2 linked regions of the Styela clava genome follow. The protein of the gene in region 1 interacts with the protein of each later gene in a biochemical or structural test. Links are inferred from orthologs where the notes say so. Each region holds a gene or a part of one and is shown on either strand. Other genes may lie near its edges.

Region 1 (8,852 bases):
TAGGCAAATTTCGTGATGTACAAATTGATAGAAAAGTTTCAATTCCTTGTTGCATTTTGTCATAAAATACCATTATCGGGAATTATGATTATCGTTAGACATAGGTAGATTCCGGTTTTATTTTAAAGTCTTTCCCCCCGGTAAAATTTTTTTATTTTTCAGTATTTATAAGATGAGTTACTATTTCATATAATAGGGAAATTTCGTGATGTACAAATTGATAGAAAAGATTCAATTCCTTGTTGCATTTTGTAATAAAATACCATTGTCGGGAAATAGAATTATCGTTGGACATAAGTAGATTTCGGTTTTATTTGAAAGTCTTTCCCCCCGGTAAAATTTTTTTATTTTTCAGTATTTATAAGATGATTCACTATTTTATATAATAGGCAAATTTCGTGATGTACAAATTGATAGAAAAGTTTCAATTCCTTGTTGCATTTTGTCATAAAATACCATTATCGGGAATTGTGATTATCGTTAGACATAGGTAGATTCCGGTTTTATTTTAAAGTCTTTCCCCCCGGTAGAATTTTTTCAATATTTGATATTTGTAAGATAATTCATTATATAATATAATAAGCAAATTTGGTGATGTACAAACAAATAGAAAAGTTTCAATTCCTTGTTACATTTTGTCATAAAATACAATTATCGGGAAATATGATTATCGTTAGACATAGATAGATTCCGGTTTTATTTTAAAGTCTTTCCCCCCGGTAGAATTTTTTTATTTTCCAATATGTGAAAGATAATTCACTATATAATATACTAAGCAAATTTCGTGATGTACAAACAAATAGAAAAGTTTCAATTCCTTGTTGCATTTTGTCATAAAATACCATTATCGGGAAATATGATTATCGTTAGACATAGGTAGATTCCGGTTTTATTTGAAAGTCTTTCCCCCCAGTAGAATTTTTTCAATATTTGATATTTGTAAGATAATTCATTATATAATATAATAAGAAAATTTCGTGATGTACAAACAAATAGAAAAGTTTCAATTCCTTGTTGCATTTTGTCATAAAATACCATTATCGGGAAATATGATTATCGTTAGACATAGGTAGATTCCGGTTTTATTTTAAAGTCTTTCCCCTCGGTAGAATTTTTTCGTTTTTCAGTTTTTATAAGATGAGTCACTATTCTATATAATAGGCAAATTTCGTGATGTACAAATTGATAGAAAAGTTTCAATTCCTTGTTGCATTTTGTCATAAAATACCATTATCGGGAATTATGATTATCGTTAGACATAGGTAGATTCCGGTTTTATTTTAAAGTCTTTCCCCCCGGTAGAATTTTTTTTATTTTTCAGTATTTATAAGATGAGTTACTATTTCATATAATAGGGAAATTTCGTGATGTACAAATTGATAGAAAAGATTCAATTCCTTGTTGCATTTTGTAATAAAATACCATTGTCGGGAAATAGAATTATCGTTGGACATAAGTAGATTTCGGTTTTATTTGAAAGTCTTTCCCCCCGGTAAAATTTTTTTATTTTTCAGTATTTATAAGATGATTCACTATTTTATATAATAGGCAAATTTCGTGATGTACAAAGTGATAGAAAAGTTTCAATTCCTTGTTGCATTTTGTCATAAAATACCATTATCGGGAATTGTGATTATCGTTAGACATAGGTAGATTCCGGTTTTATTTTAAAGTCTTTCCCCCCGGTAGAATTTTTTCAATATTTGATATTTGTAAGATAATTCATTATATAATATAATAAGCAAATTTGGTGATGTACAAACAAATAGAAAAGTTTCAATTCCTTGTTACATTTTGTCATAAAATACAATTATCGGGAAATATGATTATCGTTAGACATAGATAGATTCCGGTTTTATTTTAAAGTCTTTCCCCCCGGTAGAATTTTTTTATTTTTTAATATGTGAAAGATAATTCACTATATAATATAGTAAGCAAATTTCGTGATGTACAAACAAATAGAAAAGTTTCAATTCCTTGTTGCATTTTGTCATAAAATACCATTATCGGGAAATATGATTATCGTTAGACATAGGTAGATTCCGGTTTTATTTTAAAGTCTTTCCCCCCGGTAGAATTTTTTCAATATTTGATATTTGTAAGATAATTCATTATATAATATAATAAGCAAATTTGGTGATGTACAAACAAATAGAAAAGTTTCAATTCCTTGTTACATTTTGTCATAAAATACAATTATCGGGAAATATGATTATCGTTAGACATAGATAGATTCCGGTTTTATTTTAAAGTCTTTCCCCCAGGTAAATTTTTTTTATTTTTTAGTATTTGTAAGATAATTCACTATATAATATATTAAACAAATGTCGTGATGTACAAATTAATAGAAAAGTTTCAATTCTCTGTTGCATTTTGTCATAAAATACCATTGTCGGGAAATAGAATTATCTTTATACATAGGTACATACTTTTTTTATTTTAAAGTCTTTCCCCCCGGTAGAATTTTTAAATTTTTCGTTATTTGTTGGATAATTGGATATATAATGTAATAAGTCGATTTCATGGCGTACAAAGTATTAGAAGTGCCGAAATCAGACTTCAAAGCCATCGAGACAATGTAACCCTTTGGGTAAATGTTACTTAATTTGCTTTTGAATTTGCTTGTTCAATCTTTATTTTAAAAGATGTATTTGTGCAAATCAGATTCGATTTGTTCATATCTCATTCTTATTGATGGAAATGAATAGGTTTGGTATTTCGCTTAGATATAATTTTTTTTTGTTGTGAAACCTTCCTGTGAATTCATGCTTGTCCACCTATATATCTGGCAACAGTGATTGGAGATATCATTGTTCAGCTGATTTCGATTTATTTTCCCGGCAATTGTAGCTATTTTGTGCCATCATTTGCCGGACTTTGAGAGGTTCTGGCGCTGAGTTAAACATGGATATATGTAATTTAGTAATCTGTGAACGTTTAGGATGCCTTAACTTACGGTGAAACATTGTCAGAACGTCAGCCCACACTCGTGTGACGCTAGCCCACACTCGTAGGATGCCAGCCCACACTCGTGTGACGCTAGCCCACACTCGTGTGACGCTGGCCCACACTCGTTTTTGTCAGGCCATGCGAGGGGTAACTGGGCCGTGCTTGGTATTGTATTTGCGTTGTGTATATCAGATATGGTCTCTATATTGTCAGAGTCACCAAGTTTTTATGTAATTACGTTTATAAAGTCAGTAAAATAGTTGGTTAACCCCTTGACGTCAGGCTGAGTGTGGGCTGAGCGAGTGTGGGCTGGGGTAACTTTGGTCCATGCTGCCATGCATACGGTATACAGTAGTAATATTATCGGAATCAAATATCAAAATATACAGTAGGAGGTACCGTAATTCTCCGATTCCAAGATGTTTCGACATTTGGTTGAATATAACAAACACTCTGCGTCTGGCATGACAGCAGATGCGTCACATTGCACTATGCTTGTCTCGATATTAATTTAAATTAATTACAGTAATAGGTGCAAGCAGAACACTATCAAAGTCCCACACAAACTTTTGTCTTGTATAACTTATATCGTCTGCGGGGAGTGTGGCCCTGTTTAGTTGTTGATTGACATGGTTTTGACGTGCTCGTGCTATGTCAGTATGTGCAAACTACGGCCTACGGGCCAAATCCGGCCCGTTGGTGATTCAACCTGGCCCACCTGATGTTGCCATAAATTTCTGGTCATGAATTGTACACCAATAATAAGGCTTTCAAATCAAAATTTACTTTATTCTCCCAAACAACTATTTAACAGTTGTTTTGCTCATTTCCCCACGCTAGTGACTATGAGGCACCCCAGCATGCTGTGAAAAAAAGCAAATTACTGAATGATCTCCATAACGAATTCTGCCAGACATTTGGAAGTTTTGAAAAGCTTCAAGTATTGTTTCAAATTGTTTTATCTCATTTTTAACAAGTCACTGCAACATCACACACAAAGACAACAATTAGAATTGATCGATATTCTATGTGACTATGTTTTAAGATACAAATTCAAATCCTTGAAGCTTAATGGCTTGAGAGATACATGTTTTGAAATATTCAAAAAATGGCCCAGAGAATATTGGTGATATTTGGCTCCAAGTACATTTGTGAACAGACCTTCAGTCTTGTGAATTTATACAATTATACCCCTCTCAAATCTGTTTTGACAATTGCCACAACCAAACTAAAACCAAATTTTAATGTTTTAGCTAGAAAAAAGCTCAAGGAATTTGTTGAGATTGCGATTTAATTTAGTTTTGCACGAGGCTTATTGTTTTCCACTTGTGCTCTTTCAAAACACTTCAAATGAATTCCTGTTCATAAATTATAACTTTATGTCACACTTATATGGCCCGCAGGTCTGGGGGGCCAATTTTTCTAGTCCCTAGTCTGAAAACCTTGCCCACACCCCTGGTCTATATGCTAAATTGCCAATGTCAATTGAAGTGATTACATAATTTAGTAATTATAATCAAAGTATTCATACTGCATAAAGTCTGCAAGTTTAAAAAATCTTTGTTTGACACTATTACAATTGACACAAAATTGAGAAAATGTCATATGGTCATTACCTTGTTCATGTCTCAATCCAGCAATCGTGTATTTTTTCGAAATAAACAAATTTGGAATAATTTTTTTGATCCAATTTTATTTTGTTGGCTGTTTCTTGACCAATCTTAGGACCAAAATTTGCAACAAGCTGGTCGGCCATTGGTTTATAATTGTTAAAATATTCCATCCATTCATGATGGTATGATATACCGTAGTTTACATTTTCCAAGTGTGCTTCAGGCTTTCAGGAAACTTGGCTCATCTAATAGTCCTCTGGGCTCTGATATAGTGATTATAGTAATCGCATTAACCTAGTCCAGTCATACTATATGTATTCGTGGTCTAAATACTGTTTTCTTTTTTCATGTCATTGTAATTTTAGAGTAAATAGTATGGCCGATTCTTCCAATGTTGATCCAAGTAGTGGAATTCCAAATAGTGGAAGCACTCCAGGTCAGTAAATTAGGCTTTGGAATTTTTTTGGAAATTCAGTTATTATTTTAGGACATTTATTAATTTGAAATACCGGTATGCATATTAGTGGTGATGAACGAAATAAAATATTCAGATTGGAAATTCCCACAATTTTATCTGATGTATAATAAATACTAAATGCCTTTTATCCATAGGCCTACTATTTTTAATCAAAGGTCAAAACTCATTTTCAAATCATCAAGTCATTTTACCTCCTAATCTTGGCTTATGAAATTGGTTCGTAAGATGCAATATAACGGTATCAAACGCACATGCCACCGGCGCACCGCACTTCTGATTACCCTATATTGGTTTCATAGTTGGAATCCTATATGAGATATTTATATGTGAGATGATTACTGGTGAATAATATAACCACTGGTTAGTTACGGCTTCTTCCACTATCGGGTCCATGCGTCTGAAACAAACAACAGGTTAACTATTCTCATACCATACCCAGCATAGACTAGACTCTCAACCAGACAAGAGATTTCTAGACATTTAATTTAATGAAAAAATGAATTCATGATAGTTCAAGCTGCAAAGTTTTAGTGTTTCCAAACTTATTCACAACCAAATTTTTTTTAAAGTATGGTTCGGGGTTATTCCCATAAAATATTTTGTATTACTTTATATTTTAGGTGAAAATGGTGGAGGCTTCTGCTCTGGAAAAGAATCAAATAGAGTAATGAAACGTCAACGAGATGAGGAGGATGATGTTAGGGATAGTCCTGATGATTCCGAGCCTGAAGAGAAACGCGGCAGTTTTCGATTAAATCCTCCAACCTTGATTCATGGACAAGCAAAACCTGCACCGAAAGAAGGTTTGCAAAATAAGCTTTCAAGCTTTAATAAATATATCTGTAATTCTGCTTATCAAAAAAGTTATATTAAAATACATCTTTAAATCATTGGCTTTACATGCTACATAAATATTTCACATACCGGTATGTCCTATCTATCTACCTGGATTTATGAAGTGTAGTTTTAGAATCATTAATGCTTTATTTCGAAATTAATTAATTTTCATCTGTATTCAGAGGGGGCACAAGAAGCTAGTCAGAAAAGAAATTTTCTTCGGCCCTCTATTCTTAGTGCACCAGCTGCTCCGTCTCAATCTGTGTCTGCACAATCTTCTGCAGCATCGGAACGTAAGTAAATTCATGAATTTACTTCAGAGTCATTTTACTTTAGCTATATTTCACTGAAGAAATTTTCTCAATATTTTAGAAATTTTCATAAATTTGTTCCCCTATGAGATGTTCAATGAATGATATGCAAGATAGTGGAAAGTCAGAAAATGACTAGCTCTTGATTAAGTCTCTTGATTAAATTGCAATATATACATCACCACCACTTTACTCCTATGTAGTGGGAACCAGGTGTTTGCAAATGAATTTAAAATTTGTTTGTTAAATTGGGCATTAAGTGTCATCACTTTAATTTGAATTACAATTGTATCTTAACCTCTAAAAATAGTTGTTCCTCACATTATAGACCTTTGGCACTTTAATAACAAAGTATTCTTGAACTCCGAACCGTTTAATAATATAGTCGGCTTTCATGTAGTTTACGTGAGCTACAATACATTTTCTAATAACTCTTTAAATTCTATCTGTGTTTGACTATCTCTTAAGTCAGGGGTCACCAAACTACGGCCCGCAATAACACGCAAAAATGGCGAAATTTTTTTCCAAGGGAAATTTTCCCGAGCATTGTCTTCCTTATTTATTTGAAAATAGGGGCCAATCAGCGAGATGCAAATAAGTCAGTCATCATTTGCCTCCTTAAGAGTTGTAGTTTTAATAGTAGTACTGAAAAATTAGTCTAGAAATAGCTGTGACAAAATAGACTAAAATTATCTACCGGTGAAAAACATTTTTCGCGAAAGATGCACTCGTATACTTGTGGCGCGTGCTTTCGACGAAACTGTTTACGTTTCTTGTGCTGAAATGAACGTCGAATGTGCATGTTGCGCTAACAGTACTGTGATCCCTCGCATACTTCTGCAATTTCACAAGTCACACTAACTTTTGTACTGCCTAAATGCGGATATTCATGTGGGTATGTTACAAACAAATTAAAGTTCATCCGATTTAAATAAAAACTGCGCCAGTGGATAGATCTGAGTGAAAATAGGATGACAAGTTCATAAAAAACGGTCTGGAAACAACGAAGATATCGGAATTTCAGTACCGCCCGACATGCCAATTTTTTCCATAAGGATAGTATTACTTTTTAGATAATAACTATAATAAATATGAAAAAAGAACACATATCAATCTCTAACCTTTCGATCTGCGTCACATCTATGGAACAATGAGACTATTTCAGAATTTTATCGTCGCAAATAAACACTGGAGTTGTGCATGTTAGTTTGACAGTGGTTCATTGTGGGTAATAATTAAAGATGTTCTGATAGAACAAACTTCATAAAAATTGGTAAGTATCAAGATAGGAAGGAAATACACACGTTCACATAAATTTTATTGGTGTCCATAGACAATATCAAAATTTGCACTACGTATAACTTGAAATTTATGCGCTAATGAAACAAATCAAATACCAGATAATAGTTGTTTATTTTATCTAAATTATGTCAAAATTTCCAAGGTACCGCAGGCAGTCCGTAGTCATTAATATGAGCGGTATTCCAACGCGGCGTAACGGTACATAGCAGACGTGATGCCTACATATTTTTGGCGCGAAAAATTGGATTTTTTAACATTCCTAATTCATGACAGCAACGTTTTGCCAACAGCTAAACTCAGGATAGTTGAATAGATATAAAAATCTTGTATATTTTTCCTTTTACTAGGATTTTCTCGATATATTAAACCTTTATAAAGGTTTTTCCAGTTTCCCCAATTTTCCCAGTCTTCTGTGTGTTCATTGTTTATGTTTTGTGTATGATTTTTTTGCGGGGAAATAAAATCAAAATATATATACTTATATATTTATTATATTATATATACAGAATATATACTTATATATTCTGTCTTTAGAAATGAAGATTATATTTATTGTTGAATAAATTGAATGGATTTCCAAACATTTGTGAATTTATTGTATTGCATTGACAACAATATTTGTCCGGCCCGTTTCAACACAGTTTGAGTCAAACCCGGCCCGCGGTCAAAAAAGTTTGGTGACCCCTGTCTTAAGTGAAGGACCTAGAAATAAACTATTTTACTGTGCGCCAAAGTGAAAAATTGGCAGCTGTATGTTAATTTGAAAGTTTGGACACTTAGGATAGGATAGGATTTACATATTTATCCCGGGGGAGAGGAAAGCCGATAAGACGGCTTATCCATATGGCGAACCACGGCCTCTCGTCCGGTTACCATTCCAAGTCGGGTATGGGATTAGTTTTTTACTGTATTGTTTGTTTTCGGAAGCATGGACTTGGTGGTGGAGGAAGCCGTAACCGACCAGCGGTTACGTGAACCACCCAACGACGGCGAGGAGTCCAGCAATCCTCTCGCACATAACCACCCCTGCATGGGATTCGAACCTGCGAACCCACGCAGAGTAATTAGAGGTGCGGTGGCGAGCGTATTCCTAACGCTTAGCCCGTTGAGCCACACCGCCGCGCCAAGCGTAAGATAGTTAGGAAAAAGTTTTGGTTTGAAGAGTTAAGAGCCAACTAATAGTGACAAGTTATTAAATATTATGAAATATTTTGAATCACAGTTCATCAAATTGTGATCTTTGACACACCCACTAAGCCAGATTAATTAGTCAACATAACACACTTCCAATTTGTTCTTCCTGTTATGGAGTTTATTTGTAACATGCTATTTATACAAGGACCATTTATGTCCAATGATCAA
Region 2 (9,233 bases), on another chromosome or scaffold:
TTTGAATTCTGTTGAATTTGAGTCTAATAGTAGTCATAGTATTGTTAGTTTGTTACATCATAATATAATATACCAGAAAATCAAAACCAGGAATTGATTTTCCCATTTTTTGAAAATCAAACAAACAAGAAACCAGGAATTGATTTTCCCATTTTTGAAAATCAAACAAACAAGACCCTCCAACTGATAATCACGTTCTCAATCTATTGCATTGCTTAGTTTTCAAATAGACATTCATCATAAGTTACTGTAGGTTAAGCTTAGGCACACTCAAACAATGAGCAATTACAAGCTTTTGCCAAGGCTAATCAGGCATTCAAATTGTCTATATAACCCAATTGTCTATATAATTCGAACCCACGGGCGGTCTTTATCCATCTGACTGAAGTATCAGTAATACAATTACCAATCCTGTTTGATAAACACACCCTAAAATAAATCAATTCATTACTATCTTTGTATTAAATCTACAGAAATCAATCAGAAACTATCCTTTAAACCTGAATCTTGCTGTCCAAGGGATTTATAACCATTAGCTCTGCATTCAAGCAAAATATTCAGATTCAGACTGTTCTAATGAACTACCATTCAACTCATATAGTAATTTTCTAAGTCGATATCCAAATCACATTTTATGACAAATCTTTTGTAAAGATAAAACCATCTCAACTGTAAAACCGCATTATACCTGCAAAACTTAATCTTTCACGCAAACTGCTTCTTGGCATGGGTACTTCTGGATTTGCTGTAGTACTAGAAGATGAGACTTCATCTGTAGAATATTATTATTATTCTGTTCTCTCACTTCTCTGTATTATTAAATTTATCTAGAAGTCTGCCATGACCATCAATTTGGAACATTGAACTTGGTAAGTAAATAATCTGCTTTCCTAGCTCTACTTGTAACTTGGACGAGGAACCTCTGTTTGAGTCTGACAGACTTAAGACTAGATTTGGTTTCTTAAACTGGGTGTCCTGACCCCTCCCCTGGTGGGTCACAATAAGGCTTCATAGAGATTGCGGTGGACTAGATGAAAGTTGCTATTACACTAATTCATGAAGAGATTCCGTCATATTTGCTATCTCAATAATGACAGTGAGCATTTTGGTGATGATGATTATATATGGGTGCTTGGGTCTAAGATTGTTAGCAATCAATGACTAATTTATCATATTGTATCACTTCATTCTTACCTGCACTTTTCCTTCCACCTCTACTTAATGCGTATTTACTCAATCTTCCAAGTTGTCCTTGCTCACCACAACCTAATGTAAATACCTGTGAAGTATTGTAATATTAGTTTGAAAACCGGTAATATGTCTCAAAAAAAGTAGCATGCATTTTTTCTAATGAATAAGCACACAAGCAAAGAAATAATATTTTTGCTGTCTATGAAAATTGAATGCCTACATAACGTAACATAACTTCACAGTGCAAGATCAAATTAGGCTGCTTAGGCATTGCCTTACTTAATATTGCCCTACTTAATTCATTACACTTAGGGTTTGAACGAGAGAATGTTAAAGTTAATTGATGTACATTGGCAAATACTCAACTCGTGAAACAAACGAACCCACGATTTCCAGATAAATTGAAAAAATTCAATTTGCTTTCAACAGATTTAGTTCTGAAGATACAAAGGTTCAACTGAATGAATATTAGAGAAAATTTGAAATGACAAACCTTTCCCTCGTCAGTGATCATTGCAACATGGTCACATCCAGAGGCAATTGCTACAACACAATTTTGAATTTGGTCTAATTTGATTGGCTCGCCACACTTTTCCCATTCCTTAGCTAAACCCAGTCTGCCGTGATTATCCTGAAAACAATTGAACAAAAATGAAACATCCTAAATCTTGTAATCACAAGAAATTTATAAACTCGATTGAAAAGATTCGACATGATCATTAATTTTTATGAACAATTGGGGCCCAATTAAATTTGCACCGAACAAAAATTAGCGTCTATGTTTTCAGAGTCCTATATGTTTTCAGAATCCTATAACATAGGCTACCTAATACCTGCTTGTTCTGCAGTTGTCTTTGTTTAAAAATAATAAATTAAAATAATTTTTTATACTTACTCGAAAACAGCCCCATAAAAATACATTTCCATCTTCTGATAAAGCAGCACAGTGACTATCACCAGCAGATATATCAATTACTTTTACTCCTTCTAAACTTCCACCGACAATTTTAGGTTCAAATCCTTCTGAATCGTCAGATGTTAATCTTCCTAATGCCCCCTCATCATTGCAACCGAATGAGTAAACCTACGATTATAAATCCATGGGTGTTAATGTCCAAAATTATATAAATAACATGTGAGTGAGAAACCGACAATATTAAAATAGCAGAGGATAGAATTTTTCATTTAACTCAGGCAAGGTAGATTGCAAGGTAGTTCGAAATAACTGATCAACCATGGTGCAAATAACTTTTAACTGGAGTGTCCAACAACCTTCTTCAGTTTCAAGTCATATTCAGACTTTCAGAGTTACGGTATATATATATGATTTTTAGCTATACCTTATGATCGTCAGTCAAACAAACAGTGTGCATTCCTCCGCCAATAATTTTCTTGATCTTTTTTCCATCAAGTTCTCCTCTCACCAAAGCAGGCTTTTTTCGTTCCATTATATCTTCTCCTAGTCCCAGTTGGCCTGTATCTCCTTGTCCCAATGTTAGAGCTACTCCCACAGAAGCCAATTCAAATAAATTGGGAACTGAAAGTCAAAAGTAGAGTGTCAGACTACAAAATATCGTTTTGTTGCTACAATGTACTTTTGAAAAAAAAGTGGAATGAAAAATATGAGCATTTCTACCAACTTATATTTATTACACATATAAAAATTGGTGATCTAATGGATGCAAAATTCAAAGGACCAGTCATTCACTCATGCCTAAAACTTTTTTGTAACCAATATATTTTATCAAAGTTTTATATAGGCTACAGAGGTGTCGATTCAAATACAGCCAGTATCTCATATCAGCATGTGGTCTATGTTATCTGTGATATATATATAGGAATAAATATTATTACCTTCTATCTTCTTCTGTTTTATTCTTGGTTCCTCAGAAACGGATTTACTGAGTTTACGCTTCCCAGAGTTTGAGCCTTTCTCAACTGCAGAAACTGGTAAAAATTGCAAAAAATTTTAATAAAATATTGTTCCTACTGTACCACCATACAGTCATAATAAACTATGGTGTGATTTTTGAGTACTTTCTCTCAAAAATCTGAAAATTGTTATCTGGTTATAGAATAAAATCTGAAAATAGGTTTTTGCCATAGAAAAAATTCAACTTCAGGACTTGGTTAAAAAATACAAATAGCCTCACTTTTCCTTGGTCTCCCTCGAGATTTCTTTGGTTCTTCAGTTTTACCCACATCTTTAGTTGATAATTTGCGAACCATTTTCTTTTCAAAACAATTACAGTTATAGTCTACCGGTAACAATCTAAAGTTTGATAATATCCCGTTATAAGATAAGCTTAATACTGTCCTGGGCAGCGCAGTACGGTACTTTGTCTTTTAGAACTTTAAAAAACAGTTGGGCTATAGTCTAACTTAGCTACAAGTACCGATTCATTCTCACCAGAATTAGAGTTATTACGGTATGTAGTACCGTAGGTTGTAGGCTACGTACAGACGTATAGGTACCACAGTCGCTACCATAAACAGTCAACTGACCATTAAAAACTGCCTTCATAAGTCAGTGATTAACACCTACCGTAGCTTAACTACGACAGTTTAAAATATTCTGCAAGTCGTATTACTGCATTCTGGTATTGCGAATACTATTGGATTTACTTAGTAAAATGCAATCTGGAGACGGGAATGCTGGAACGGTTTATCAGTATTACGCCAGTCTGGATTTCATGGCCTTTTTGAACGAGAAATCGGGCGTGCAATCAGAAATTCCCGCGTGCAAATAAGAATTCCTGGCGTGCAATTATAGCTCACGACGTGCAAAACAACTGCACTCGCGTGCAACTGACTTTGACATCAGATACCTCTCAATACATCCGCGTAAAATTACCGGTATCGGATAAAAAATACGTTGAATCAGAGAAAAAATGGACGTTTGACCTTTGACCCCAAACATTATTTCTACAGTTTGTCGCTAATTTTGAGAGTGTTTGTGCGACTTTGGATACCGGTACTGTTCAGTACATCCGCGTAAAATTATTGGATAAAAAATACGTTGAACCAGAGCAAAATGGACATACTTTGTCATTAATTTTGGTAGTGTTTTTACGTAGAATTAATGGATAAAAAATACGTCAAATTAGAGCAAAATGGACGTTTGATCTTTGACCCCAAACATTATTTTCATACTTTGTCACTAATTTTGGGAGTGTTTGAGCAACTTTAGATACCGGTACTGTTCAGTACATTCGTGTAAAATTATTGTATGAAAAATACGCTGAATCAGAGCCGTACTTGGCCATTGGTGCGGAGGCGATCTTTTCGTCCATAACTATTCTCACGGGATTCCTATTTCCTATCATTCAACACGATATGGACCTTTCCCCGAGCATCGACTTCCTTGTTTACTTCGTGACATTGGCCAATCAGCAAGATGCAAAAAAGGATGTAACAATGAGAGGAATTTTTCGCGGGTCAAAGGTTGGGGAAAGGTCCATACTCCATGGTCTTTTTGCTTCGCAATATTTCGATCAGACCAAATCTTGCAAGCTGGTATTTGTCGACAATTGTGGAGGTATAATATTTTGGCATCTTTATATTACTGGATTATTGATTTTAAAACCATTTAAACCGATTTACATTGGTGAGCAATTGCAAATTTTCGGCGTGCAAAATTGATTTCGCTCGCGAGCATTTTTGCGGAGCGCTAGCGCCCTCGGGCGTGCACCTGCCATGGAATCCAGTCTGGGTATTACGCACCGGTTCTATTGTTGATTATTGTTTGTTCTCGAGCCTCTTATCTTCAGAAGTGCTATAATTACCACAGGCGCTCAAGCGTCGTCCCGCGAATCACGCAGTGCAGCAGTGGTACATTCCCGCAATTAAAATGCACATCTCATACCGGTACACCGATGTCATTTTGACAGATTTTCAGCAGAAAAAATAAGACTTTACGTCCGGACGTCAGAGAAAAAAAATATTTTGTCACATTTGACTTATGATATGATAAGGCGTAAATATATACTACTACGGATAGGTCATTGAGTTGTATAAATAAGGTATATAAATGAATATTTCTGGAGGCTGAATCTAGCACAAAATAAAACAAGAGAGCTATGCTCAAATATATGGACACGTGACGCCACATAAGGGCAAATTTTGATGGCGTTATAGCACACAAAAAAAACGATAAATAAAAGTAAGCCTTCTAGCTAAAAATATAATCTTTACTCTTTAAAAATTTTAAAGCAATTGGTTTAGTAATAAAGGAGAGAAGCGATTTTTTAAAAAACGATACAAAGATGAAGTCCAACAAGAACAAGATTACCAAAAACATGAAAACGATCCATAGGTCAAGTGCAGTTTCAAGTATTTCGTGGCGTCTAGAAGTGCCGCAAAACCATGGCGAGATCATTGTGGGTATATACACCTCAATGGGCGAGATATCCCAACCATAACCGCTATGACCAAACCCACGGCGACTGACTTTTTATCTGCCACAAACCACTGAGGTGTAATGCCACAAACCAACAGCGAGCTGCCGTCGTAACCATTGAGGTGTATCCAAAGTGACTACACTTTGGGTGTATCACCTCAATGGTCGTAACGGCAGCAAATCGAATGCCGCCAATTTTGCTGCCGTAACCACAGCATGTCGGCTGTAATCATTGAGGTGTCTGTAATAGCAAGGCTGCCCCTGATGGTGATAAATATTGGGTAAGTTGGAACGTTTTTCTTATGGATACAGTTTGGGTGAATTTGGGGTTAGGTTTAGATTTAAGTAGATATAATTTGGCATGATAAACTAAAATATTGTACATGACTTAGTAAATACACCGGTAATAGCGCCACAACACCATGGCAGGAGACAGCGGGGTACGCTCGTGGCAAGAGCTGCCATGAAGTGGTAAGAACTGCGCCTCCATAGGTCACCCACATGTCCAAAAAACAATATTTTTAATATAAGGGATTCATTACGGGTTAAGGAATCGATGTTTTTTTCTGAGCATCGACTCACTCGTCTACTTCTTTATCATTAACTAATCAGCAAAATGTCAATTGTGGCGTGCCAATTCAAATTACCGGCCACACAGAAAAGCTTTTCCCACCCAAACAGGCCTTCGGCGCTGGAGCTTGGGAGTAAACGTTGGATTGCTTTCGTGGTTTTGTTGGTTATTTGTCAATTTTTGATTGCGTTACCTAAATTCAGGTATAGATGTCTTTTTGTCCCCCGACGTAGCCTTGCTACAAATTTTAAAATTTTTAAACCGCATATAAGATACGCTCAGTAGGCCTACATAGACTTACACAATGTACAATAAAACAAAATGGTGATGAGAGACGGGGAAAACAATACTGATTATCTCAGAAGGAGTCACAAAATGAAACAAATATATAAACGAGAATATCGGTCGGAGACCGAAGCCCATCGATCGAATGTTAGGGGATCTCCAAAACAGAAACTGCGGTTTTGCATCATTCGCTCTTACTCCATAGTGACACCGTGTGTCACATCACTAATTAATTGATAATTCGCTAATTATGCAACATAATTCATCCAAAATAGGCTTCTAGTCCGAGATATGATGAATGCACATGCAAAATTTAGAGCAGATTCAACCTCGCTTTCGCGAGATATCGCGTAACATACGAAAGTGTCTAACAGACAAACAGTATAGTTCTGGAACAATGCTTGAATGCTTTACATTGCTTTGGTAATTGTTGACAAACAGCATCATGAAATTATGGGATGGCGATATCAATTTTCGGGAACTATTTCACTTTCTTTATTTTGCTAAGAGGTCGTACAATTCATGGAGAATCGCCCACAAATGTTTATTTAAACAACTAAATTGAAGAAACAAGACATGCATTTAGCACACACACTGCTTAGAGTTTAAAATATTATATTTTATCTATTTTTCAATTTTGTAGAATATTTGCGTAATTTATTGAAAATCAAGAAATGGGTCTCGTATCTTGCATTCACTGGGACAGGTATTGAAGGCATTAGATAAAAATACATGCTGTAATACGAATGCGCCACAGAAAATGGCTTGCTTCACATGCAGGGGCGTGTCAAACTTTTCTGCTACGCGGGGCGAGTTTCTCCCCTTATACCTAACTTCAAAAATAATAAGAGGGATAAACAAATTATAGATACAGTGGTATACATGAGAATGAATCAATCAAAGGTCAAGTAAGAGTTGAATGTTTGTATTATCATTATTTTAATCATCAAACTAAGCAACAACCTCGCCCCATAACGTTCTGGTCACCACCTAGTCACTCCCCTGGTTATATATTACACGCAACTTTAGGAGTTGCTCTTACCCAATCCGCTATTTTAAAGCTTTTTTGATGACAGTTTAAAGTCTTAACTTGCAGAACAGACCAAGTTGTATTCAATACAAAAAGTCGGACTTCTGATTTATACAAAGCATTGGAAAATAGAATGCATTTGTCGCTTGAAAAAAATATTTTCAATCGCTCATGAAATTGGTGTAAATCGTTGTAAAATCTCCTGCGGTTATTTTATTGCAATTCTTGTATGTCGAATGAGACAAGTATTTGCAGTAGGATATGGATTGGATTTTGTACGAAATAAAAGTAATTCTGATTCTACAGGGGAGAAGCACACAGAGGAGAATCCTACAAAATGGCGTACTAGTCTTCGACCCTGTCTCCTTCTTGAAGTTCATGCGTGAAAGCAAAGTATGATCTAGAAAATGAAAATCATGTTGATGATGAATCTTGCTATGCGTTTAATTTTTAAGATTGCAAACAGAGCTTGGCATTTTAAATCGAATAGTGAATTTTTGGAATCGGTCCAGACGAAAATTTTGGATCGCCGCCATGTTTTTTTTTCGTTCACCAAAGATCGAGGTCCGTCTATTTTTTCGTTGAGGCATATTTGTTTTACATACGAGTGATTTATTTATGACACAGGTTTCTTATTCTGTGTGAACACACAACCAACTGTACTCTAAGTGAATGATTGTATGTTTTTAGTAATTCCATCACCAATATTTCAAGTATTCGAGATTCAATTCTGAAACCACTAGGTATTTGGAAATATACTGGAAGAATCAATTGAATCTGTGCACATTTGAGTCTCTAGTTGCAAAATCTTCATCATTATCTAGAAAAGAACTAGTACGACAATCTTTATCAATGTCCCCATCTTAACAAGACTATACAATAGATCTCAATCCAGCGATATGAATATATTTAGGCATCTTCTATCAATAAAAAATTTTTTTTTTGCAGGTTGTGTGGACAAGTATAGAAGGCAAAATATTTATGCTCGAACTGGAAATGGGAGCTTTTTCGGTACTTGGAGAACTTATGGCGCATTTCGTTGTAACGTTGATTAATGTTGTAAACGAAAAAGTCATGAATGAAAGGGTTACAAGTGAAATGGTAGACCTGTAGGTACAGAAAGCATTGTTCAATTATATGGACACGAAAGTGAAACATTTCAACAACAGTATACAATGTCAGATCTATGGTATACAAAGGACAAATAGTATAAGAGGGATTGTCGCCTGGTTGGCATTTTGGTTACGACGTGTGTACGCGAGTACAAATTATTTGAAGCCATCCAAGTCATAGTTGTGTGCATTTAATATAAAATGTTAAACCTCTTAGATCATAGCATTTCAATATTTCTATTGCATGTCTGTGACAAGTCACTTTTATTTTATTCCATTTCCACGAACAATCCTCTACTGTCCAGTGTCGAAAAAAATTTCTTTCTATCGAGATCGAAATAGTGTTCAAATGGCGCTGTAATTCATCAAACGGGCAGGGCAGCATTTAGAGAACAAGAGAGCTATGCTCAAATACATGGACACATCACAAGGTGTCGCTATTTTTTATTCTGACATATAAAAAACGAATCTCAAGTCCACAGAAATTTTTGAAATATGCAAAAGTAATAGCCTTCTGGCGGAAAAATTAATCTTTAACCACTGAAAATTTCAAAGCTATTGGTCCAGTATTCGAAAAGAAAAGCGATTTTATCATGACGAAAGAGAAGAAAAACAAGAACAACAACATAATATCGAAACGATCGT

The links.
Region 2: the proteins of ran-binding protein 3-like (region 1) and regulator of chromosome condensation-like form a complex in vitro, tested with the Homo sapiens proteins (2 studies listed by BioGRID). The link is inferred for Styela clava from reciprocal best matches to the Homo sapiens genes RANBP3 and RCC1.

What each region holds. Positions count from the first base shown.
Region 1 is NC_135260.1:20,226,110-20,234,961, forward strand, and holds the start of ran-binding protein 3-like, read left to right. Parts: upstream 1-4,887; 5' UTR 4,888-4,937; coding exon 4,938-4,998; intron 4,999-5,660; coding exon 5,661-5,843; intron 5,844-6,059; coding exon 6,060-6,170; intron 6,171-8,852. UniProt on the Homo sapiens protein: Acts as a cofactor for XPO1/CRM1-mediated nuclear export, perhaps as export complex scaffolding protein. Bound to XPO1/CRM1, stabilizes the XPO1/CRM1-cargo interaction. In the absence of Ran-bound GTP prevents binding of XPO1/CRM1 to the nuclear pore complex.
Region 2 is NC_135257.1:1,500,737-1,509,969, reverse strand, and holds the start of regulator of chromosome condensation-like, read right to left. Parts: upstream 3,464-9,233; 5' UTR 3,421-3,463; coding exon 3,345-3,420; intron 3,139-3,344; coding exon 3,046-3,138; intron 2,729-3,045; coding exon 2,532-2,728; intron 2,276-2,531; coding exon 2,087-2,275; intron 1,823-2,086; coding exon 1,685-1,822; intron 1,280-1,684; coding exon 1,195-1,279; intron 1-1,194. UniProt on the Homo sapiens protein: Guanine-nucleotide releasing factor that promotes the exchange of Ran-bound GDP by GTP, and thereby plays an important role in RAN-mediated functions in nuclear import and mitosis.